Arabidopsis thaliana: one gene and its partners. The protein of the gene in region 3 purifies or fractionates together with the protein of the main gene of each other region. This does not show direct contact. Each region holds a gene or a part of one and is shown on either strand. Other genes may lie near its edges.

The links.
Region 1: the proteins of FYPP3 (region 3) and AT2G40290 fractionate together in Arabidopsis thaliana (co-fractionation; one large-scale study listed by BioGRID). This does not show direct contact.
Region 2: the proteins of FYPP3 (region 3) and AT1G07990 fractionate together in Arabidopsis thaliana (co-fractionation; one large-scale study listed by BioGRID). This does not show direct contact.
Region 4: the proteins of FYPP3 (region 3) and AT2G42230 fractionate together in Arabidopsis thaliana (co-fractionation; one large-scale study listed by BioGRID). This does not show direct contact.

What each region holds. Positions count from the first base shown.
Region 1 is NC_003071.7:16,828,229-16,833,053, reverse strand, and holds AT2G40290 (Eukaryotic translation initiation factor 2 subunit 1), read left to right. Parts: upstream 1-1,827; 5' UTR 1,828-2,164; coding exon 2,165-2,548; intron 2,549-2,678; coding exon 2,679-2,735; intron 2,736-2,814; coding exon 2,815-2,901; intron 2,902-2,984; coding exon 2,985-3,131; coding exon of another isoform or gene 3,132-3,182; exon of another isoform or gene 3,183-3,219; coding exon 3,220-3,324; intron 3,325-3,632; coding exon 3,633-3,731; exon of another isoform or gene 3,732-3,735; intron 3,736-3,868; coding exon 3,869-4,024; 3' UTR 4,025-4,288; downstream 4,289-4,825. Other genes in the region: FER4 (ferritin 4), read left to right, coding at 1-156, 309-392, 477-537, 623-710, 968-1,029, 1,147-1,212, 1,317-1,380, 1,516-1,553; AT2G40280 (S-adenosyl-L-methionine-dependent methyltransferases superfamily protein), read left to right, coding at 4,754-4,825. UniProt on the Arabidopsis thaliana protein: Functions in the early steps of protein synthesis by forming a ternary complex with GTP and initiator tRNA. This complex binds to a 40S ribosomal subunit, followed by mRNA binding to form a 43S pre-initiation complex.
Region 2 is NC_003070.9:2,475,340-2,482,952, forward strand, and holds the start of AT1G07990 (SIT4 phosphatase-associated family protein), read left to right. Parts: upstream 1-1,613; 5' UTR 1,614-2,073; coding exon 2,074-2,112; intron 2,113-2,336; coding exon 2,337-2,440; intron 2,441-2,626; coding exon 2,627-2,713; intron 2,714-2,846; coding exon 2,847-2,922; intron 2,923-3,048; coding exon 3,049-3,123; intron 3,124-3,259; coding exon 3,260-3,313; intron 3,314-3,639; coding exon 3,640-3,699; intron 3,700-3,783; coding exon 3,784-3,900; intron 3,901-4,060; coding exon 4,061-4,155; intron 4,156-4,250; coding exon 4,251-4,459; intron 4,460-4,838; coding exon 4,839-4,936; intron 4,937-5,066; coding exon 5,067-5,170; intron 5,171-5,257; coding exon 5,258-5,420; intron 5,421-5,580; coding exon 5,581-5,703; intron 5,704-5,875; coding exon 5,876-5,958; intron 5,959-6,240; coding exon 6,241-6,373; intron 6,374-6,456; coding exon 6,457-6,486; coding exon of another isoform or gene 6,487-6,603; exon of another isoform or gene 6,604-6,632; coding exon 6,633-6,703; intron 6,704-6,871; coding exon 6,872-7,559; and 1 more. Other genes in the region: AT1G07985 (uncharacterized protein), read left to right, coding at 169-603.
Region 3 is NC_003074.8:6,959,964-6,965,730, reverse strand, and holds FYPP3 (flower-specific, phytochrome-associated protein phosphatase 3), read right to left. Parts: upstream 3,996-5,767; 5' UTR 3,724-3,995; coding exon 3,643-3,723; intron 3,357-3,642; coding exon 3,210-3,356; intron 3,123-3,209; coding exon 3,055-3,122; intron 2,814-3,054; coding exon 2,756-2,813; intron 2,268-2,755; coding exon 2,157-2,267; intron 2,074-2,156; coding exon 2,023-2,073; intron 1,918-2,022; coding exon 1,774-1,917; intron 1,684-1,773; coding exon 1,588-1,683; intron 1,495-1,587; coding exon 1,423-1,494; intron 1,054-1,422; coding exon 970-1,053; 3' UTR 525-969; downstream 1-524. Other genes in the region: AT3G19990 (E3 ubiquitin-protein ligase), read right to left, coding at 1-135; AT3G19970 (alpha/beta-Hydrolases superfamily protein), read right to left, coding at 4,364-4,634, 4,795-4,985, 5,157-5,262, 5,351-5,767. UniProt on the Arabidopsis thaliana protein: Catalytic subunit of protein phosphatase 6 (PP6). Dephosphorylates phosphorylated phytochromes, with a preference toward Pfr forms.
Region 4 is NC_003071.7:17,592,889-17,598,472, reverse strand, and holds AT2G42230 (C-CAP/cofactor C-like domain-containing protein), read left to right. Parts: upstream 1-1,807; 5' UTR 1,808-1,909; coding exon 1,910-2,395; exon of another isoform or gene 2,396-2,575; intron 2,576-2,670; coding exon 2,671-2,811; intron 2,812-2,935; coding exon 2,936-3,316; intron 3,317-3,417; coding exon 3,418-3,522; intron 3,523-3,609; coding exon 3,610-3,750; intron 3,751-3,888; coding exon of another isoform or gene 3,889-3,894; intron 3,895-4,028; coding exon 4,029-4,232; intron 4,233-4,339; coding exon 4,340-4,432; intron 4,433-4,528; coding exon 4,529-4,640; intron 4,641-4,724; coding exon 4,725-4,768; 3' UTR 4,769-5,062; downstream 5,063-5,584. Other genes in the region: AT2G42240 (RNA-binding (RRM/RBD/RNP motifs) family protein), read right to left, coding at 1-51, 165-213, 444-516, 762-818, 917-1,001, 1,213-1,275, 1,366-1,629; AT2G42220 (Rhodanese/Cell cycle control phosphatase superfamily protein), read right to left, coding at 5,168-5,232, 5,322-5,426, 5,532-5,584.

The DNA of each region.
Region 1 (4,825 bases), on a different chromosome or scaffold from region 3:
TAAAAGCTCAACCACCGACGCGCTAAGCGGCGTTGTCTTCGAGCCGTTTAAGGAAGTAAAAAAGGAGCTCGATCTCGTCCCTACCAGCTCTCATCTCTCACTCGCTCGACAAAAGTACTCAGACGAGTGCGAAGCCGCCATTAACGAGCAGATCAAGTAGGTTATTCTTTCTCACCCCAGTCTCTTAGATTCGGTATTATAATCTGGTTGATTGGCTATAAGATTTGGTAACTTGGAACCTCATGTTGATTCTGCTTATTGTTTATGAACCTGTGAATTTGAAATTCTTCAATGGATTTTGGTTGCAGTGTGGAATACAATGTCTCGTATGTGTATCACGCTATGTATGCTTACTTTGATCGGGATAACATCGCGCTCAAAGGTCTTGCCAAGTGAGTCTCCGGTTATTCAAGAGTGTTGATATTTTCGGATTTTTTTTGTTTATCCATAGTTAATTGTTGGTTTCATGGAATCAGGTTCTTTAAGGAATCAAGTTTGGAAGAAAGAGAGCATGCTGAGAAGTTAATGGAGTATCAGGTCTTATGAAAGTTATTTCCATTTGTTTACCTTATTGGAGCTAATTTGGTTCTAACATGTTTTAGTTTTTTTCCATGAATTGCAGAACAAACGTGGTGGGAGGGTTAAGTTACAGTCCATTGTAATGCCTCTTTCAGAGTTTGAACATGTTGACAAAGGAGATGCTCTTTATGGTAAGCTCAAAAATGCTAACACTAATAATCCCAAGTGAAAAAACTTCTTTAGTTTCATATGTCTGCCACATTCTAAGAAATTAGATATTGACACCAATGATTTTGTTAAGCTTTTGAAGAGATTGCATATTTTCACTAGCAAAGACTGAATTTTATCTGAGTTCTTAAGTATTATGAAAATGTATCTCTCATATGGAGATTCAAGTCTCAATGGATATAGGAATTTTAACATACAATTCTGTGATTTGTTGTTGCAGGCATGGAGCTTGCTCTGTCACTGGAGAAACTAGTTAATGAGAAGCTCTTAAACCTTCACAGTGTAAAGACCATCTCTTCTTGAGTTCATACTATATATGTCAAATCCGTATTTGAGAAGTAAATCTAATCTTCACTCGGCAAGAACTGTTCTCAGTTTGGTAATGCTTTGCTTCAACAGGTTGCTTCGAAGAACAATGATGTCCACTTGGCAGATTTTATTGAGAGCGAGTTTCTGACAGAGCAGGTAATTTATTTGGTGTTCTATGTTAGTGGCAAAGAGCTACTGTTGTATATAAGCTATCAAAGAGAATCTAATAGGAATTTTTGATAAAATAAAACATTTCTCAGGTGGAAGCAATCAAGTTGATCTCAGAATATGTGGCTCAACTGCGACGAGTTGGCAAAGGACACGGTACATAAATAATCTCTCACATTTTGTTCTAATCTATAAATTTATAAAAGAACAAGAAAATCCACTTATTCATCCTACGTCGTGCCTCAAACTTGGTTTTAATATATGTCTTTGAATGCTTGTGGGTAATTTCAGGAACATGGCATTTCAATCAGATGCTTCTGGAAGGGTAAGCAGCTTCGAGGGACTCTTGTGTCTACTGTGTTTCTATATGTGTCTACTTTATGTTTAGTTCTTTAGCTTTTACGATTTTGTGAGGTAGTAGACTTCTTTTTCTGTAAGAGACAAAAGACATGATCACATAACTTTATATTCTGGTATAAGGTTCATCAAACCCACCTGGTGATCGATTCTACATCGGTTCGGTCAGAATGTTTTTGGACTGCCAAATGTGGATTCGAGCTCTAGTTTAGTTTGCTCCGGTTTAAACGCAATTCATGAATAAGCAAAGGAAATCAATCCAAACTTACGTTGTGAAAGAAGTTGGGCCGAAAATGTCTGAAACCCGAATAGGCTTTTAACCCCTAACCCCTTGAAACTATCTTGTGGCCCAATTAAAACCTAATTGTTTAACTGACACGGTGCCGTTTAACTTGGCATCTTTGACGCAAGTCGACTCATTTTCCGTTTGTGTTCCTTGCTCATTTCTTATCTCTAGAAACCTGTCTGATTTGCTCCGTCGCCTAAAAAGTCTAAAACCCTAAGTGTCTCCGCCTCGTAGCTTTACCCGATTCAACGAAGAGTGAATTCGCGTGAGCTCAAGCAGTATCGAAATCTACCAATCATGGCGAGTCAAACACCGAATCTCGAGTGTCGGATGTACGAGGCGAAATACCCAGAGGTGGATATGGCGGTGATGATCCAGGTGAAGAACATTGCCGATATGGGAGCTTATGTTTCTCTCCTCGAGTACAACAACATCGAAGGCATGATCCTTTTCTCCGAGCTCTCTCGTCGTCGGATCCGAAGTGTTAGCAGTTTGATTAAGGTCGGAAGAATTGAGCCTGTCATGGTTCTCCGTGTTGACAAAGAGAAAGGTTACATTGATCTGAGCAAACGTAGAGTCAGCGAGGAAGATATTCAGACTTGTGAAGAGAGGTATAACAAGAGCAAACTTGTTCATTCTATCATGCGCCATGTTGCTGAGACTCTTTCAATTGATTTGGAGGTAAAATATCGTAGTTCAAATCTGGGATTATCTACTGGATTTGGATTTTGCTTGTTAGAGATATTATCAAATATCATAGCTTAGTGATGTGATCGTTGAATAGAAATTGATTTGAGCTTTCATGTTGCAGGACTTGTATGTGAACATTGGTTGGCCTTTGTATCGACGACATGGTCATGCTTTTGAGGTAAGAATTTTGTGAATTGGAGATTCATTGTGTATCTCTATGGTTATTTAGTTCTCATATATAATTTTCTTTTGTTCAGGCTTTCAAGATCTTAGTGACGGATCCTGATTCAGTGTTGGGTCCTCTCACCCGTGAGATCAAAGAAGTTGGGCCTGATGGGCAAGAGGTATATACTTTGTTCTCTGGCATTGTTTTAGCGGTTAGTACTAACTTTATTTGGTGCTAATCTTACAAGTTTTCTGTTTGTAGGTGACTAAGGTTGTACCTGCTGTTACGGAAGAAGTGAAAGATGCACTTGTGAAGAACATTAGGAGGAGAATGACACCACAACCAATGAAAATCCGGGCTGATATCGAATTGAAGTGTTTTCAGTTTGATGGAGTTGTTCACATTAAGGTCGTATCTCTTATTAGATTATCTTTAACTTGTGAAATGAATACATTATGATTTCATTTGATTTTCTCACCCATGCTTGTAATTTCAGGAGGCTATGAAAAATGCTGAAGCCGCTGGAAATGAAGACTGTCCTGTTAAGATTAAATTGGTTGCTCCACCTCTGTATGTCCTTACTACTCAGACACTTGACAAGGTTAGGCAATCTTCTATCTTGCACTATGATTTACTTGGTTTGGTAATTGGTATATTATAGAAATCCTCCCCTACTTATCTTTAAGAGGTTTATGATCTCTGTTTAGATTGTATATCCACTAAAGCTACTTGCCAGAATTTTGAAAACACTGTAGTTGCAAGGAAAGTAAATGCTTAAGAAAACACTGGACATTGCAACTTTGTTTGCCAATTATGTAGCTCTGCGGATTTGTCTTCACTTAAACCATAAATGTGTAAATGCTATGTTTTGTCCCATTTTATCTTCTCAATTTCTCAAATATTAAACAGGAACAAGGGATTGAAATTCTAAACAAAGCCATAGCAGCATGCACTGAGACAATTGAGACACACAAAGGCAAGCTTGTCGTTAAGGAGGGGGCTAGAGCTGTGAGTATCTTAAATTAGTTTTTTTTAAGTGATGAACCGTCTCGAGTTGCATGTCACAAGAACGAGCTTTTCTTTTGTGTTTTGTTTAATTTGGTTCACAACCGCCTATTAATGTTTATAATCTATGTCAAATATAGGTGAGTGAACGTGATGAAAAGATGCTGACAGAACACATGGCTAAGCTACGTCTTGACAATGAAGAAATGAGCGGCGATGAAGATAGCGGAGACGAAGAAGAGGACACTGGTATGGGCGAAGTGGATCTCGATGCAGGTGCCGGAATCATCGAGTAAGATTGCCGGATTTTTCTTTCTATTAAATCTACCCAATCTCAACAGTCCCAGTATTTTGGTTTAAGCTTTGACAAGGCAGTAGAAAAACCTCCGAGAGGATTTATGTGCTTTTTGATGACTCTGAGGCATTTTATTTTACCCATAGGGGGTGGTTACATATCAATCATACATTCATGGTTTTATAAAAGATTTGATTCTTTGCATATGTTACTACTGCTCAAGAATATGTTGCTCCACCACATGACTCATTATTATCTTAGGAAAACTTTGGCTCAATATGATCATACTTTTGAGTTTAAACCTCAGGAAAGTAGGTTGATTGGATCTGGCAATGATAGGTGTGTAGATTTAATTCAGATCTGATGTCTCCGAAGATGCAGATATTCATCAATTACTACTGCGATCTTCTATTGAGAAAATTTACCAAAAATGAAATTCTTAAAAATCCTCTGTCTGATACATAAATGGTTAACTTGCAATTGATTCATAATTAAAATGATTTATTACAAGATCAAACATCTTGTCTTATACTACTAATCAGAAAAGAAAAATTCTTTCGGACACAAATCCTTTTTTAATCTGTCGGCGCATTAAAAATTACTTAAGCTCTCTCTGCAAAATCGAAATGTGAAAGTTGCGACTTTTGGAGCTCAGCTCAGCTCACACTTTCCTCTTCCTCTTACCTGAAACGCGTCTCGTAACACTGATCTCTAATGATCTTCGTCTCCAATGGCGATATCAGTACAACACGTCGTCGTTTTACTCCTCTCCACTCTCCTCATCGCCATCACCTTCTTCCTC
Region 2 (7,613 bases), on a different chromosome or scaffold from region 3:
GTCTCCATGAACTCTCTCTGCAATATTTAAACGTGGCCTAGCTCGTGTTCTTTCAATCTCCAATTATTACTCTATTAATAAGAGAAGACGAGTTTTGCTTTCGATACTGTCTTTCAACTATTCCGACACAACCAAAGCTTCTGGAAACGTTGTCGTTTGTTATCAATAATGGCTGTTGTAGAAGAACCGATACTTTCAAGATTGGATCGTATTGATTTCATGGTGAGGAAGTTAGAGGAGATGAAAGGAAGCTCGCCTAGAAGCTCGAGCCCATCGACTCCATCTAGTGGGACTCAGCCATCGTCAATGGATCTGTCGTCACCGAGGAGCATAGGGAAGGTACACTGCCGTTCGATGGAACAAGTCAGGGAGGAGACTGAGCGGAAAGGAACTTTGCTAGAGAGACTTAATAATGTAGAGGAGCAAGTGCTTAAGCTGTGTTCACAGTTTGAGGAAGAAGTTGAAGAAGAGAGGAAGAGAGAAGATAAGACGGATAAGGAAAAGAAGACCCCGAAGAAGAAGAAGGGATTGAGGAAGCTGGTTGATAAAGTTGTTGGATCTTCTTCTCCCACTAATATCCATTCCAAGAGCTGGCGTTGTTGAGTCATTGTAGTACTTTATTACATCATCATGTATACTTCAACGTACCACGTTTAAATGAAAGCTTCTCTTCTTTTTTCTTTGTTGAAGCGCTAGTGGAAAAAAATATCTTTAGGTCTCTCACTCTCTTGTTTGATCGTTTGTTTGTTGAGGTTTTTTGTTGTCCAGTATGCACTTTTTAAGTGAAAACAACAATGAATTTTCAGTGTACTTTCTATTTTTCAGAGTGCACTTTTCAAGTGAAACAATGAAAATTTGAAGGAAAAACAAGTACACACCTATAAATGATTAGAAAAACGAAGATGTGTGTAGTCATTTCCATAAACGTAACGATAAATTCTCAGTGGAGATGGTTAAAATAAACCGTAAATAGTTAAAATTTAACAAATGCCCAAGGTTTTGTGTAGAATAGAACAATTTAATTTTATATCTGTTCTCCGGGTTTTCTTGCTTCCCGATCAAATTGGGGTGTCAACATTTTGATCTAAAAATCAGTGACATCATATATGAGACTTTTCAACGTGTTTTTTTTTGTCTAAAAAAATTTCATCATTCTCTTGTCAAGTATTATGTAAGGTTAACAAATCTCCTCATAAATTTTTTAAAGATCGAAAATTTTCTAAAAATATGTAAACTTTTTTTCGTCTATGGTTTCTTAAGGTGTGAAGAAAAAGAGGCTGTTTACGGAGTTCACTCTGTTTGACACTTCAACCAACTTTTGTCTTTATATGTTTTTATTCTACACCATTAAATCAAACTTAAGACAATCATATGCATTTCTTTATCCACAAAATTGATTTGCTTATTGTACTTCATCATCCCGTTGTAAAATTTATAAGCACAATTTTCGCCAACTATTTATTCCGCAAATTGAACAGCTGATTTTATTTAAATTAATGTGATCTTTATCACAACAAATTCACAAGTCACCTGCTGCTGGTGACGCAAGTATCCCCCTCTCTGTTACAATATCTCACGATCATTCAATTGTATCCATAAAGATGATGTATGTTACTATCACCACCACCACCACCATCGTCATGAATCATGATCATCAGACAACGACTACGAAAAAATCATAAGTCTACTTTTATTAGACACACAAATCTGTGAAAATGGCGATTTAGTTAATAATAATTCGCTCAACTTTTTCTTAATCAATCAAAGGAATAAAATAACAAATAATAATAAGACCATTTTTTACTTTTCCCCTTCTTTATGCAAAATTCGGCCTCTTAATTTTCAAAATTTTCGACCTCCGATCTCCCATCTCCGCTTCCATCATCTTTAGGATCTCTCAATCTCTTTCTTCACTGATCGATTAGGGTTTTCGAGCTGAAATCGATACTCCTCCACCGCGAAGAAGCGATTACCTAGATTTTTCTTCTAGGTTTCTGGCGGATCTCGCCAAGTTCTCCTTATTCTCTTCAGCTACGGCGAAACTTTCTCTAGCTCCACTCCTCCCTCGCCACCATGTTTTGGAAGCTCACATCTCTCTCTGCATCATCTCCTGTGAGTTGAATTTTTAGATGTCGTGTTGTATGTTAGCGTTCATCTTGTCTACAGATACTGATATGCTTTAGAATTAGATTATTGGAGTTTCTATCCGTTGCTTTGCTTTTTCATATAATTTATGTCGAATTTTTGGATTTGCTAGATTTCAATTTTTTGAATTATTGTCTCTGAGTCGTGAATTGTTCATGTATTGATGTTCTTTCCTTTTGTTATGAGCGCAGGTGGAGATAATATTAGACAAAGAAAATTTCACGTTGGAAGAGCTTCTTGATGAGGAAGAGATTATTCAAGAATGCAAGGCTTTGAATAGCAGGCTCATTAACTTGTAAGCTTTTTTTAATCATTTATAATTGGCTTATATTCCTCATTATCTGTTTCATAGAACCAGATAAACCCTATGGTGTATGTTGAATCCTATGTCTCCTCTATCTGCGGAGTTTTAGTTAAGGAGTCCCATATTTCCTTCGTATTTTCTTGGATGACTTTATTGATTGGGTATTAATGTCTGCAGTCTAAGGGATAAAGCTCAAGTGGAGCAATTATTGCGGTACATTGTTGAAGAACCTCCACAGGATGCTGATAGTAAACGTGCTTTCAAGTAATATGCTTCCTTGATTCTAACTGGAATTACCTTGTCTTACCATCCTCTCCTTTTGCCTTTTATCCACTTTTCTTTTGAATGGTTCTGGATTTCTTTTCTCTCTAACTAATAATAGTTTCTTCTCTTTTAGGTTTCCATTCATCTCTTGTGAAATATTTACATGTGAAATTGATGTTATTCTAAAAACTTTGGTCGAGGATGAAGAGGTATTTTTCATTCATCCTACTACCTTTTCCTCAAATAGCAGTTCATACTTTTCACTTTTCTGTGCATCTGGATTATGTTTATTGTTATCCTAGATTCTCATTTGTTCGAATAATTTTATCTTGCAGCTGATGAACTTGCTTTTTTCCTTTCTGGAACCAAATCGTCCTCATAGTGCATTGCTGGCAGGCTATTTCAGCAAGGTATTCTCTCTTACGATACATAAGTTTACGTATTAGCCAAGTTCCTGTAATTTTCTTTTGTTTTGTTTGTACCGATACATATGACTTCATTTCAAGGCTCCGAGAAGTGATTCTTACTTCTCTCTGTTTGGTGTAGGTTGTCATTTGCCTTATGATCAGAAAAACTGCAGCGCTTATGAATTATGTAAAAGTAAGTAATAACACATAGTTAAACGGATGGTAAACTATATGAGAAATATATTATGGAAACTATTTGAACTGATTTCTAGGATTATCCAGGAGTACTGTAGAATACGTCTTATTTTCTGTTAACTCTTCTATTCAGAATTGATATTACCTTCCATTGTAATCTCGCAAGCCAGATGTCCGTCTATTTAGTAAATTGTTAGTAGATGAGATTGACATGACTCTATTCTTCAATTGCTGGCAATTATATTGATGTGACAGACAATTTAGTTGAATTTTTTTGTTATTTGTTTTGTATTCAGTTCTCAAAGTAACTTTTGATGATCACAGGGGCATCAAAATGTTTTCTGCCAGTTAGTTGATTTGATTGGGATAACATCCATCATGGAGGTAATTGGTTTGACTTAGACTCAGTGCAACTTGGTGTGGTTTCAGAGGTCTTTTTTGCTATGATATTTACGCGACTTTTTCTAGGTTTTGGTTCGCTTGGTTGGGGCTGATGACCAAGTCTATCCCAACTTTCTGGATGTGATGCAATGGTTGGCTGATAGCAATTTACTTGAAATGATCGTGGACAAACTTAAACCATCTGTAAGTGGTTAAGCTTTTCTATAATCATCCCAGAGACAAGAGGCTCTTGGTTTTCTCTTTGATACTTGTAGGTGGTGTAAATCTAGGATATCTGATGATATTACTAATTTCTTCTATCATCTTCATTCTGATATGTTTCTTGCATTACAACTTGAATCAGAGTCCTCCGGAGGTTCAGGCAAATGCAGCAGAAACATTATGTGCAATTTCTCGGAATGCACCGTCAGCTTTAGCTACGCAGCTCTCTAGCCCTGGGTTTGTAATCTTTCTTCCATGATGATTCCTAATGCTTTGATAGATGATACAAAAGTGTTTCACATGGCAGCACAACTTTTTCCCTGTTTTTGCAGCTACGTTGCAAAGATATTTGGTCATGCTCTTGAAGACTCGCATTCAAAATCCGGTCTAGTTCATTCACTTTCAGTATGCACCTCTCTTCTGGATCCGAGGAGATCTGCTGTTTCATCTTCTATGTTCAATTCTTACAGAGGTCAACATATGTTCGAGTCTCCTGTCCCAGTTTCCCCAGAAACTATTGGTGCCATGCTGCCCAAACTCAGTAAGTTGGATCCTATGATGCACCATCGTCACATGACCATCAAGATTATTAATTTTCTGGCTTTTTTATTTGTTGCATGCACATAATCTTATTGTGCACTTGGACAATAGTCAATCCTTTTCTTATGTGATATTACTTTCCATTTGCGAGGATACCTAGAGTATTTAGCATCTATCTGGACGTTCTGTTTGATCTTCCCTGCTCTCTATTTGGTCTCTTCTATTTTGGTTTATATTGATAAATGGAAACTGGTTTTACATAATTCTGGAATGCTTACGTAGCACATCTTGGATATGTATGATACTGTCTCATACAAGTTTTTCAAATCAGGTTTTATGCATTCAATGACCTTAAGTAATATTTTTTTTTTTTTCTGCAGATGACTTGCTTATGCTTCTCACTGTAGCATCTGATAGCACAGTATTGCCTACAACATATGGTGAACTGAGGCCTCCTCTCGGAAAGCATCGTCTAAAGGTCAGGTCCAAACATGGAGCATTTTATGGAAGACATTGTCGTTTTTAGGACACCAACAGTGCTCTTAATATATTGTATGTAAAGTCTCTATACTTAATTAGACTCACTTATCTTATTTTCTTTGTTTCAGATTGTGGAGTTCATTGCAGTTTTGTTGAAAACTAGAAGTGAAGCTGCACAAAAGGAATTAGTCAGTTCAGGAACAATCAAAAGGACCCTTGATCTGTTTTTCGAGTAGGTTTTGCTAAACTTAAAATTTTGTGATTACCGTGTGCTATTTCTACGAGATCTTAAAAAATCAAATACTCTCGACATATGAAGGTACCCGTACAATAATGCTCTGCATCATCAAGTGGAGAGTATAATACTTTCTTGTTTGGAAAACAAGAGCGATTTGATGGTTAACCATATTCTTCGAGACTGCGATCTGATTGGCAAATTCCTCTTGTCGGACAGGGACTCAAACCTCTTAGGTGATAGCCAGGTATTACCATTTGCTATGTTCACAAAGGTTTAACTGATCATCAGCATATGAAAGAGTCATCTTAATACAGCTCCAAGTTAGCTCCATTGACTCATTGCTCCAGCGTTCATTAGCTAAACAAATATTCTCTGGCATTTTCTTTTTCTTTTGTGCGAGGTAGCCCACTGTAGCTGCCTCCGGGAAAAAAAAACCTCGTGTCGGGTATGTCGGGCATATCACAAGAATATCAAATAAAATTGGTCAGTTGAGTAACAGCAATGGCCAGATAAAGGCATACCTTCAGGTTGGTATAAAAATTATACGTGTCGTGTTGTTTTTCTTCTGCCGCTTTTTTGTCACTTCACACGCATAAAGAATGTAAAACCATTAGTTGAGTCTTGTGATGAATGGTCCTAGCACTCTGTTGGAATCTACCATGTTTGCTGATTGTGCTTTGTTCATTCCCAAATCTTTAGGAAAACAGCGAATGGAATGAGTGGCAAGGTAGTGTTCTGCAGGACCGCAACACGGTTGAAAATGTCAACAGATGGGGATGTGGGTATGTTAACCTCTACTCACAAATCATCTAGTAACCATTTAATTGGTCAGTCTGCTACATAATGCTGATTATGGATGTAAAAATTCATGTGTGATCCTTGTTCCTCTTGGACAAAACCCTCAAAGATAATTCTGCATTGATGACTGATGGTATCATAGTCAAATAATATTTCTTCTCATGACGAGACCACTCAGTAAATGCACCATGATCTGGTCCCGGGTTTTGGATTTTATCTTCACTCTTTTTGGTTATAAAAATTCCTAAACTAATTGTTACGTGTAGGCGCCCAACTACCCTACAAGATAGGACAAGAGATAGCGATGAGGAAGACAGGGATTACGATGTTGCAGCTCTGGCCAATAACTTAAGCCAAGCATTTAGATACAAAATATATGGAAACGATGACAATGAAGAGGTATCTTCTCACACTAGTGCTTTTTCTTCAATTTATGAATGATTTCCTGGGTACTGAATTTATCGTCTTTGTATTTCTCTCAGGACCACAATGCCCTTGATAGAGACGATGATGTAAGTCTTGCAAAAATTCTTCTCTCCGCTTTTTTGAAAAATCAAGGAAACTATCAACATCTTTTATCACACTATGATACGTATGGGGGATGTACGCTAATAAGAGTTTGCTATTGAAAATTGGAATGTGTTTATATACTATACAGGATGTTTACTTCGACGATGAATCTGCTGAAGTAGTAATTTCATCCTTAAGACTTGGGGATGACCAAGGAAGGTGAGTTTATCTTTTTATTATCTGTTAATACTGGTGTCCTCATGTCCTTGCTTTAAACTACAGTTACTGTATCTTGGTGATTGAATTATGTCATCTCTCTTGACCAAAAAACGAATGATGACGTCTCTCAAAATAATGACTTGAATCTTTTTTGGTATTTTGCCGCAGCTTGTTTACAAATTCGAATTGGTTCACATTCCAAGACGATAGATTCGGCAGCACACCCTCTGACACAGCGGGTTCGAACACGATAGACGTGGAATTGAATAAAACCTATAATGCCAACACTAGCAGTAGTGACGATGATGAAGTTGTGGTTGGAGAAGAAGACGATGATCTAACTGGAAACCCAAAAGACAACGCGTTGAACACAACTGAAACCAACTTTCAAATGGAGAGTCCACTGGATTTCTTCGACTTCAACACCTCACAGAAAGCTGAAGAAGCTTTTGCTGAACAGCCACCCGAATGGGTCGGGTGGGGAGAACCATCTGATATGCAAGCGAGTGGCACCGGTCTGAACCCATTTATCGATGATGATGATGATGATGACAGCAAGCACATAATGAACCTCGACATACCAATGGCTGAGGTCAAATCTGAATCCATGATTCCAAACGGGTCAGAAAGATCGTTATTTGAGAAGGACGTGGAATTTGTGGGAGTGGAACCAGAAGGGGCAGAGAAAGCGATGGAGCAAGCGATGAAAGAAGGGATAGTAGGAGAAGCTGGAGTGATGAAGAAGAACAAGGAGATGGCTGAGGACTCAAAGCCGGAGGAAAGTTCAGGAGGAGTGAAAGAGTTCAACGATAACAACTACTGGAAAGTGGATCAAGAAGTTGGAGTGTTGGAATGAAAAAGTCGTTACCTTGTACAGTGTCATTTTGTGTGAGAGTATGATACAAAACTT
Region 3 (5,767 bases):
AAAAGGTCGGGCTGATTCCAGTACGGCGTCGTTCGGGGATGGAGATGATGATGAACCCATTTTGTCTCTATTACTCTCTTTCGGTTGATGATGATCGCTTCTCCAGCATGGAGGATTAAACCTTTTTATTAGCATTAAAAAAAAAAAAAAAAGACTTAAACAATGACTCTTTTAAAAAAACCATTGACCAGGACCACCAGGTTAATATTTTATGATTTCCCTCTATTAGATGACCAAGCAACATTGATGTTCATCGGCAAACAGAACAAGAACTGAACTCCCCCACTTCTCATAGTGTTTCACTGTTTTGTAATAAAAAGAGTTACTATTAATTTTAAATCATACAAGCATGCAACTCACTGAGCAACTCATAGGAGTGTAGTTATATAGTGAAGATTAATTAACTGAAAATTACAAACTAAAAATTGCAATTCTTTTTACCACATTCATGACTGCATATAATAACTTTTTTTTTTTATTGTAAGGACTACCCCTCTCTCCATTACTTGAGACAACAATCTGTATCATAGATCTGAAAGGCAACACACCAAAAGCCGAATGAAATGATTGAATAGCTCGAGACCGACAGGTATTCATTTATTGTTGCGATACTGTCCCATTTGTAACGATGTTTGATTATTTTAGAATTAATGTCATCTTCACAACAACAACAACAAAAACAGAGGAAACAGTACAAGTGAACAATGAAAAAAATAACATTACAGAAGAAAGATTGGGGGAAAGAAAAGAGAGCAGAGAATCAAAATGACTAAGACTATTACCAAAGTGTTTGACTTGTAACTTTCACAAGGGAAATGTAACCTAAAGGACAAAAATAATGATAGTAAGCGAAACCCATCAGTAGATAATATATATAATCATATATTAACCTTTTCCACATTGAACTGAACATATTGCCAATGGCAGCAATGGCTTCATCATCACAGCAAATATAATAAGTGTGATTCTTCATAGGAAATACGGAACTCCAGTCCTTGGCCCTCTCATTTGATTGTTCTCTTCTGTCTCTGTGAAGAACTTCACTTCCCTTTCCTGGTAATACAAACATTTCAATCGATTTCATCACTAACCCATGCAGGAAGGAGGATCCTAGTAGCACAGACAGCTTGAATCTATGGTCAATGAAAATCCACTACAAATGCAGAAACAGAATCTATGGCTCACACAGATATTCAAACCTCATTGCACATGGCTTACTTGATTTAAATTCTCTAAATTACTTTCTATAATCTTCCTAGATCCATTAATTCAAAGAGGCACATAGCAAATCAACAAGAGTGTACATATTTTGATAGAGTAGAATCTTAAAAGAAATGATTAAAATCACTGAAGTAATAGAATCCCTTCTTGCTGACAGAGAAGATTAGAGTATTCATTTAGGAAAGACTAAGAGAGGCTCACCATGTTGTCATTGAAACTCAATATAGAAGCGACATTCCCACAGCGGTAACAGTAATTAGGTGCAGACCATACCTTCACAAACAAAACAAAATTAACAATCACTAAGCAGAGTTTCAAAACGCCCACTAATAAAAAATATCAATTCATTAGAAGCAGGACACTCACAGTTACAAGGCCTTTATCTTGGAACATGTACTTAAGACCTTCTTGTACAAGTTGGTGCGCGCGGCATACTAGATCCAGCTTGTTGATATGGTTAAACTGCACAAGAAGCCAGAACCAAAGATCAGAGATGTGAAATTAATTTCTTAGTTACAGTATCAATTCAAGCTTTTGAGAAAGTAAACATACCTCAGTGGTAACCCTGGATCCGAAAAGCCAACCAGCTCCACGTGGACTAACCGCCCATGTTTCAATATCTTCAGGATCACTCCACATAAGATCGCAAAAGGGCCCTTCATGAGGAATTTCGCAATTTCGCTCGATCAGTCTTATCTAGAGCCCACAGCAAATCTATGTGAGTGGAGGACCTTAATAACATGCCAAGCTAGAAGCATAATTGACGGGTGAAAGCCACAAGCAATAAAAGCAGAGTTTAACCTGATCAATTGTCCGGACATCCGGGGAAAGGCCACCGTGAACACATAGAACCTAGACAAAGCAAACTATTTTAGTATAACATACAGCTATATGTGTTCTCATCAACAATGCCAAGTTGCTAAGAAATCACTTACTGTGCCATCTATAATAGCTGACAGGGTAAGATAGTCAAAAACATCTGTGCAATATCGCCACGCATTAGCGTTACCATACTTCCTCTGGCATTCGTCATAGAAACCATACACCTAAAAAAGTAAATCAAATGGTTCTGTGTTATAAAGGAGTTCAATGTCGAGAATCCATGTATAATTTTGATCATCTAGTCAGCAGATTCACGAAATGCATATTTGAATTGCACTTTAAGAGGTATGATTGCAGACTAAGTCTTAGTAAAGGTTTGCCAGGAATGCATTCAAATACAAAATTATCACCACACTTTCTTCCTTAAAAACCTATGTATCAACTAGAACACTAAGGATTACACACATGCTAAAAAGGAGACTGGTACTATATGAAGCACCTTCTGAAATTAGCTTTCCAATACTTGATTCACATAAAATGCATCTTAGCTAACATCGATGTCTACATCTGACATGACATTGCCACATGTAGTACAAAATCAGAACTTTCAAAACCCTGCTGTAACAACGAGAAGATAATCAACATTGCTTACCTCCTAGGAACAGCGTGAAAAGCAGAATAATAGATATAAGTGGAACAGAATAACACATACCTGCGTTAGCTGCCTACTTTCATGATTTCCGCGCAAAAGTGTAATATTGGCTGGATATCTACATATTAGAATACAAAGAACAGAGAAACATGAGATGCTAAAGAAACAATATCATTCTCGTTTGGACTAATTTTGAATGCAATACGTTACTGGGACTATTTCTTCCAAAGAAAGATAAATAATTATCAAGATTAATTGCTTAATAAACAATAAGTTCGTATTAAGCACGAACAAAAAAAAACTTAAAGGCAAAGATTCAATGATAACAGGAATCTCCAGAACATTTATGAGCACCTTACCTAGCTTTAAGAAGTAAAAGAATAGTGAAGACTTCAAGGCTGTTGTAACCTCTATCCACGAAGTCCCCCTGCGAATTTCCCACACCAGATTATGATTGTATTCATAATTTCATATCAATATGTCATACAAGACACCACAAAAGAAAACTCGGTACCATAAAAATGTAATTGGTGTCGGGAACATGACCTCCGGTCTGAAAAAGCTTCATAAGATCATGAAACTGGCCATGGATATCACCACATACGGTGACTGGACTGTTTACAGGCTGTACGTTTGACTCCTCAATCAGAATCTCTTTCACCTGTATAACATTATGATAAACATCTTCTGGTTAACACCATGATTCATCTTCGCAAATCTATAAATCAATCGCTGAGAAAGGAGACCATAAAATGGTATCTAAACTACAAAATTGATGCCTCCATAGTTGAAAAGAAAGAAAAATCCTAAAATCACTACAGACCAGATCGAAGTCACGTTCCACTAAGGTATATAAATACAGATCAAACCAAGCAGAGAAGAGCACAAGAAGCTTAATCGACCAAGAGAAGAAATCAAGTAAGAAGAAGAAGAAGAAGAAGGCGTACGTATTCGCAGAGAAGCTGAAGCTCGTCTTCGGAGAGATGCTGACCATCTTTAACCTTGGAAATCCATTGATCCAAATCCATAACTCTCTCTCTATATATATATACCTCTGACTGGTAAAATCTTCAACACTTTCGTTCGATTTCAATAGCGACTTTTCTGGGAAAAAAGAGGAATCGAATCGAATCGAGATAGATCTACCAGAGAATCTTCGACTTCGTTAGGGTTACGTAAGAGGAGGAGATGAAAGAGAGAATGAGAGGTTCGAGTTTCACAAAATGACACATACGGCAAAAAGAAAAAAAGATCCCAGATCGATCTCTGCCGCTTCCAACGCAAATCAAACTTTTGCGTTTGTCAAAACGCAATCGTTGACGAACCAGCGTCTCATAAGAAATACGATTGTGATCCCTCATACTTCTAAAAATTATGAGAATTGCCAAAAACTTTATGATTGGGTTCTTAACAACCCTCTTTGAACAAATAACAAAAGACAACCATAAGATCCAAATCTCCACTACAAAGGACAAGGACGTCACTTTCTTGAATCTTCATTCTCCTAAATGTACAATATCCAACAATTTACAAAGGAATAATGAATTTGAATCTATAAACCAATCCAAACCAAAAAGAATCATCAATCAGTAACTATTTTTCTCTTTCTTGTATAAGAGTTAAAAGGACCCCAAAAATGGTTAGCAACAACAACACTTGTGGAAGTCGCTATGAAGAATGGTGGCAGCAAGAAAGGACAAAGTTGTTCATGAAATGGTTGAGCTCAGCTGTATACAGTTCTGGGTTACTCCGGAAATGGTCTACATGAGGTGAAGATATGAAGTTGCAAGCACGGACCTCATGTCCTGCTTTCCTCTGCTCTACAATGAATGATTCAACTTGTTCCACCGGTATAACTCTGTCTGCAGAGCTGTAAATGTATAACTGTGGACAACTTGGTTGTGCTGTTGATAATGTGTCAAGAACATCGGCAAGTCTCCTGTTAAAAATATGATTGCACGCATTTGTTAGTGTGAAATCATAGGATATGGGTGACAAGAATGAGTGAAGAGATATGATTGCCCGCATTTGTTAGTGTGAAATCATAGGATTTGGGTAAAAGAATGAGTGACGAAACGCGGAGTTTTATTGTATGTTACCTGTTTACTTTGGGAAGATTTAGAATCACCGCAAAGAACTTTTCAAGAACCAAAAGCAAAGCTGTTTCTGTTGCAGCGGGTTTAGGCTGGGAGATGTTTATACCGTTTGACTCATATGATGAGCTCGCAGATCCTTTAGTGGCTACACTGCTTTTCTTCAAGAACGCAGCTGAGAAACCTGATGCCCATACCTGTTTTAACAAAGCCAAATTAGTATCCAGAAAGTTCAAGCGAATAGTGCAGAAATCTATAAAAAGAATAGCACCCATCAGCGTCTAGCAAATCAGGTATCCAAGCCTATGATTTAGCACAAGCCAAATGACCATATAAACATGGCTATGAATGCAAGAATCATCGCTTACCGTAGGATCTGCAGCAGCAACAGGAGCTGAGTCCACTATGCAACCTTTAACTCTTCCCATCAATGATGAATCTTGCTTCTGAAACTTTTCCAAAATGGCTCCATATCTGCATAGATGAGAAACTCGCTTAGTAAAATGTAAAACCGCCATGTAACTATGTAAGCACATGAAAAAAACAGAGATATTAAACTCACGTTAACCACCCGGTGTTGCTGAAGGTGTGAAAGACGAGATTTTTCTTTTGCTCTTCATCCAACCAATCAGCCAAGTGATTAACCAGCGACTCGATGTTCTTCTCTGCTTTCCCTCCAACTTGATAACTCATAATCTCATTCATCGGAAGAGTAAATGTAATGACATGGTAACCCTTTGAAGTGTACCAATCAGCATATTTCTTCAGATGCTTCTGCTTTGATCCAAGCCATCCAAGCAAAACCACAACAGTTCTATTCTTTTCAGACACACAACTCGAAGAACCAGACATATCGACTGCACTAGGCTCAGGTAAATGCCATCTGTAGGAAATATCAGGAACCACAAGTGAGGCACCGATTGTGAATGCAACCGGTTTCGATGCTTTAGCCAACTCTGCAGACTGATAAACACTACGA
Region 4 (5,584 bases), on a different chromosome or scaffold from region 3:
TGGTCCCATATTCGCTATGAAAAGTGTTGGACAAGGATCTGCCGCCTTACTCTGTCAAAGGAACAAAGATTGTCATGTTCACTGGTAAGAATAGTTTACCTCACTGTTTTTCGTCCAGACAGAAAACAATACTCATATGAAGTATAAAATAGGCAGAAGCTTACAGGTTTTCTAGAAGTCGGTGCCCTCCCAGCAACATTAGCAATTCCTTGACTGAACGAGCAAAAAGAATTTAATGAGACCCTGAGTTTCGTGAGCTAATAGCTAAGAAAGAACAAGCACTCTCGTAACCAGTATCTAGACATGTGAGCTAGGACTAGTTCAGCTAATCCTTAAGTAGGTCAGATTTTCAAGGCAGAGGTACAAGAAAAGAGTGTGCAACAAAGAAACAGAATCTAAGCATTCACAAGGAACTAGAAATGTGCTCAAGTAGTGCAGATGACCTTTGTGCAGGTGAATAACCAATTGTGTTGTAAGCAGAACTACTCATTCCAGGAGTTTGAAAGCTGCCAAAACCTGCTAGTGCCCAAACGTGCAAGAATGTGCAGTGTGAGTTTTCAGAAACGTGAAACCATGTTGACGGCACTTAAAGCCCAAGTGTGAAATCTTAAACCAAAAAGAGCTAGCATGCATGAGCGTGATGGTCATGAAGATTGGAAGTTTGAAAATATATATACTACACAAACATTCAGTTACAAGAAACATAAAATACAGAAGGTTACAAGAAGCCTCAAGATGAAGGTGTGTGCCAATGATCTTACCAGATTCAGTAGTAGTGTTCCAAGACTTGAGTTTTTTCAAGCTTTCCCAACCATCATCTACCATATCACAAAAATCACAAAATAAAAATTAACACAACAATAGCAAAGGTCAAATTTTTATTGAGCTACCGAACCGAAAGAATCCTACTACTTGCCTGTTCTTGAACGCTTAGATTTGGGATTTGATTTGGCAAGGTCAATGTGAAGAGTAGAATGCTTTTCAAGATCAAACACCATTCCCTGAAAGGTTCAGAAATAAAATTCAGAAAGTTTCTTAATCTAGGCAAATGACAAAGCTTATTCACTTACGCATACAAATCCCAACCGAATGATTTCAATTTACTAGATTGAATTAAGAACAACCATAAAGATACCAAATTTACTTAATGCTTTGTAAGTAGATACATCGGCGACACATTGCAAGAGCAAGTTTGAAGAAATTTGTACTCACATTGAGAGCATGCATCACCGCTACAGCTGATTGCAGATCCGAGAACACAGCAAATGCGAAGGGCTACCAAACAAATAAAGTAAGATTCTCAGTCTCTTCGCCGGGAAACATCATTACCCAAATCACAAATCCGGAGAGATAGAAAATGATTACCTTAGCTCCATCTGAGCTCCGGAGATGCGAAGTCTCATATCCTGGGAACTCACGAAAGAGATTGTAGATCTCCCGAGGCTTGACATCTTCAGGAAGTCCGGCGACGAAAAGCGTCCTAACCTCATCGCGAGCTCCAATTGAGACATGGGTAGGCAAATAGACGGAATGAGCTGAAGTAATTGGAATCGGAGAAACTCCCGGCGGCGGAGGAGGAACCATCGCCGGTAAATTATAGTGAGAATAGTAAGCTTCCAAATCATCCATTGACAACGACTTAATCTCGTGGCCGGTGAAAGTCGCAGTTTACAACGGAGAAGAAACTAATCGCGTTACTTAATGGGCCGTTTAAAGCCCATTTAAATATCGGCCTTTTTGACCCATTGTTCATCACCAGGCGTAGGATAATAGCATGTGGTTGCACACACTGTAACATAACACTCTCTCTCTTTTTTTCTTCTTCTTGATGACAATTGTTCCTATGTTCAAAGATCTGCAACTTCATTCATAACAGTTCTTTTTCTCTCGTTCTCTGGTTTAAAGCATAATGACGGAAGAGCTCATCGACCAATCACCACCACCTGACCCAGACCCGATTCAAAATTCGAATTTAATAATCCACCCAAGACGTGTTCCTTTCGAGCACGGCCTTCTTCCGATCCAGAAGCTCGTTTTTACCGACCCGATTCAAACTCTAGCTCCGATCAAGCAAAAGTTAGCTTCTTTGGCGACGAATCATCGCGTCGGATCTGCTGCCATTTCCGATGCACTCTCGATCTCCGATGACCATGCGCGCCTCGTTCTCGAAACTCTCTCTTCGGTGCTCCATTGCGAGACTGACCCATTGGTTTTGGCCAAACCTGAGGAAGTTGATTCCGTGGGAGCTGATTTGAGGGATCTGATATTGTTTCTCTACATTCAATCGTATAAGAAGTTATTGCCTAGGACGCATAAAGACTCTGCTTCTGTGGCTGATGTTTGGCCTTCGACTTCTGCTTTTGATGGATACTTGTCGGCATTATCTCCAATTCAGGCAAGCTTTTTTATTCTCTTAATCATGTAATGTGGCTCAAAACGTTATCTTGTGATCTATTTGGTTTAAAAAATTTCATTTTGCATTGGATTTTACTATAATTTTGCAATGCAAGTTAAATAATATTACGTTATCATTCAGAAACATATGAAAAGGATTGTCTGATATTTGAAATATTTTACCGATAATTGTTCTCATTACTGTTTCTATCATATGGGTAGAGACATCCTTGTAGCTGTTGAGTTTAAGTTAAATTTCCTTTCATCATCTTGCAGCTTGTTCGTAGCAACAGCCGTCGGTTTATGCCATCACCGACAGATGAAGAAGCTCATCAATTATCGTATCTGCAAAAGCACATTGCAAATATTATTTCTCTCCTTGCAGAGCCTGTGGAGGGACAAGGAGATGATTCTTTGGTATGTGCTAAACTTTTTTTATGTTTGTATCAGATGGATAGAAAATTTTATGTTGTGATGCAATATTATGGGAAATGGAAAAGAACGAATATCTCATGCTAGATGGTCCGAATCTCCTCCTCAGGTCCTGTCTATGGAGAGTTTGGAGCACATTGGGTTTCTTGTTCATTATGGTGATAAGGGATTTGATGTACCTTCTTTAAGCCAAGCTACTCCTTTTTTTGCGAATTCTGATCCTGATATGCCCGCTGTCCCCGTTCCTGCTTCCCAAGTGAATGATTGGCTTCTCAAAGACATAGCTTCCGCCTTAGAAAGCATTTCTAACAGAATCTCTGGGAAAGAAAATGGGGCATCTAATGCCTCTGATCAGAATGCTGCAATGGCTGATTCTAGTGTAGCTCTTAATAAAGTTTCATCTAACGACAGAGGTCCATGTATTATTGAGGGAGTCTCTAAGACCTCACTTTTCAAGCAGGCTTCTGATCTTAAGGGTAGATCAGTGAAGGTCCGTATTGAACAACTAATTTGCATTTTAAACAGCAATCCCTCATTTAGTTTCGTTTACTCATGTATGCACGTCAATTGCATGTTTTGTGTATTCTGCAGGTTGCCAATTGCCATGATTCTGTTATTTATCTGTTAGCGCCATTGAGATATGCAACTGTGTATGGGTGTTCTGATTCTACTATCGTTCTGGGAGCTGCTGGCAAGGTACGGCAAATATACTCCTTTCTGTTTTAGTCTTTGTTAGCGAGGTTCAGGTTAGAATGCAGTGATAATATTTTATGTTCTTTGCAGGCAGTAAAAGTTGAGCATTGTGAGAGAGTTCATGTGATTGTAGCTACCAAACGAATTTGCATCGCCAATTGCCGTGAATGTGTGTTCTTTTTGGGAGTCAATCAGCGACCTCTTATAGTTGGTGATAACCACAAACTACAGGTGATATGTCTATTTAAGATTGAGCTGCATACATAACTCTTCTTTCCCGCCCTGATATTCAGCTGAAATTAATAAATAGACTACAGTTTTTCTTTTAACTCTAGGCTAAATCTTTCCTGTGTTAATATCCTGGTATAGTCATGATCGTATTAATGGTTCCTGGTGTTTGGAAAATTGAGCATGCTGTTAAAGTCACTTCTTCAACTGAGTTAAGTGGAAACATCTTCTGATGTGTTGTCTATAACTGTTGGCATCAATGTGACTGTTATCTGTTCCAGGTTGCTCCATATAATACATTTTACTCACACTTGGAGGAGCACATAACCGAGGTAGGAATTCAGCCAACTATCAACAAATGGAACGAATCCTTGGCGCTCGGAGCAATTGATCCGCATGACTCACTATCACATCCGACTGGTGCCTCTGATAAACAAGCTGAACCGGCTTCTTGTGTGGACCCTGACCAGTTCACTACCTTTTTGGTTAGATTCCCCTTTTTGTTAGTTTAATTTTCCTCTAGTAACTAGTGATATTGGTTATTAAGATTGTGTTCGTGGGTTAATTTCTCACATCAATGTCTCTGGTTCAGATCCCAAACTGGTTTGCGGGTGAGGCGATTGGTTCCACGAAAGACAATCCATTTCCATTGCCAGATGCATATAAGGCAGTGCAGCAGACAAACGTATGTTTTTTATTTGCTTTCCGCATAAAATTGCTCGTTTCTTTTTCATCCATACTTCAGCATCTGATCCCTTAACTGTGTTTTGGTTTTGAGCAGCTTAAGAACTTAGAGGAAACAAGACAATCCTTGAGAGAAACACCTCTCGAAGAAAACCGAAAACGAGAACTCACTACAGCGTTCCACATGTATTTCAAAGACTGGCTATACGGTAATCAAATAAAATCCCCATTCTAGTTCATTTACTCCTTTGGCCAGCCAATGATCTATATGTATCTCTTTCTTTTGGTGACAGCGACGGGAAATATTCGGCAACTTTACTGCCTACAAGGCGATTAAGACCAATGGCGATTGAAAATGTCAGAGTCACTGTAGAGTTCTCTTGATCCGTTCCTTCTCAGAGATTTGCTAGCACGTTTGACATCAGAATTTAACTGCACAGCACGCTCTCTAACTCCTAAAGCTCTGTTTTTTTGTGTGTAGGTTTCTCTCTGCTTTTATCGTATTTATTAGTCTTAAATATCCACGTTTTTGTCCTTGAAAAACATTAAGCCATCTTGTCTTGTTGTTGATTTCTTTCAATTGTTATAACAACTTTTCTCAATACCATATATATAAATCTTTTAGTAACTACTACTTGGGAATTTTAAATATTTTGAATTTTCTCTTAAGCATCACATTCAAAACAGGCAGAAAATGTGAAAACATGTCTGCCTCAATTGTTTTCTTTGTCTTGTCTTAGCTTGTTGGAGGAAAGAGCTTCTCTGCTTGGTCCGGGAAGAACTGTATGAACAAATAAGCACCTGCAAGTTCAACAAAGTCTTACTCATAACCAAAGGAAAGACCAAACAACATTCTCTATATTCTTCAGCTCTATGTAAATTAAACTTACAGACGAGTACTGTCCCTAAGACTGCTGAGATCTTGCCTTGAATTGTGATAAGCCCTGCTTTGCCTGCATTCTGCAACTCAGTGGAACCGACGGATTCAAATGTCCCTAAAGTCGCAACAACAGTAAATCCGATTCATTATCCTTCTCAAACCAAACTATCTCCAAAACCCCTCAAGAAATGATCTTAGATGAAACCAAATGGGATCAAACCTGGTTTTACAGATTGTAGCCCTGATGTTACACAAGCAATGTTTTCGTAACCT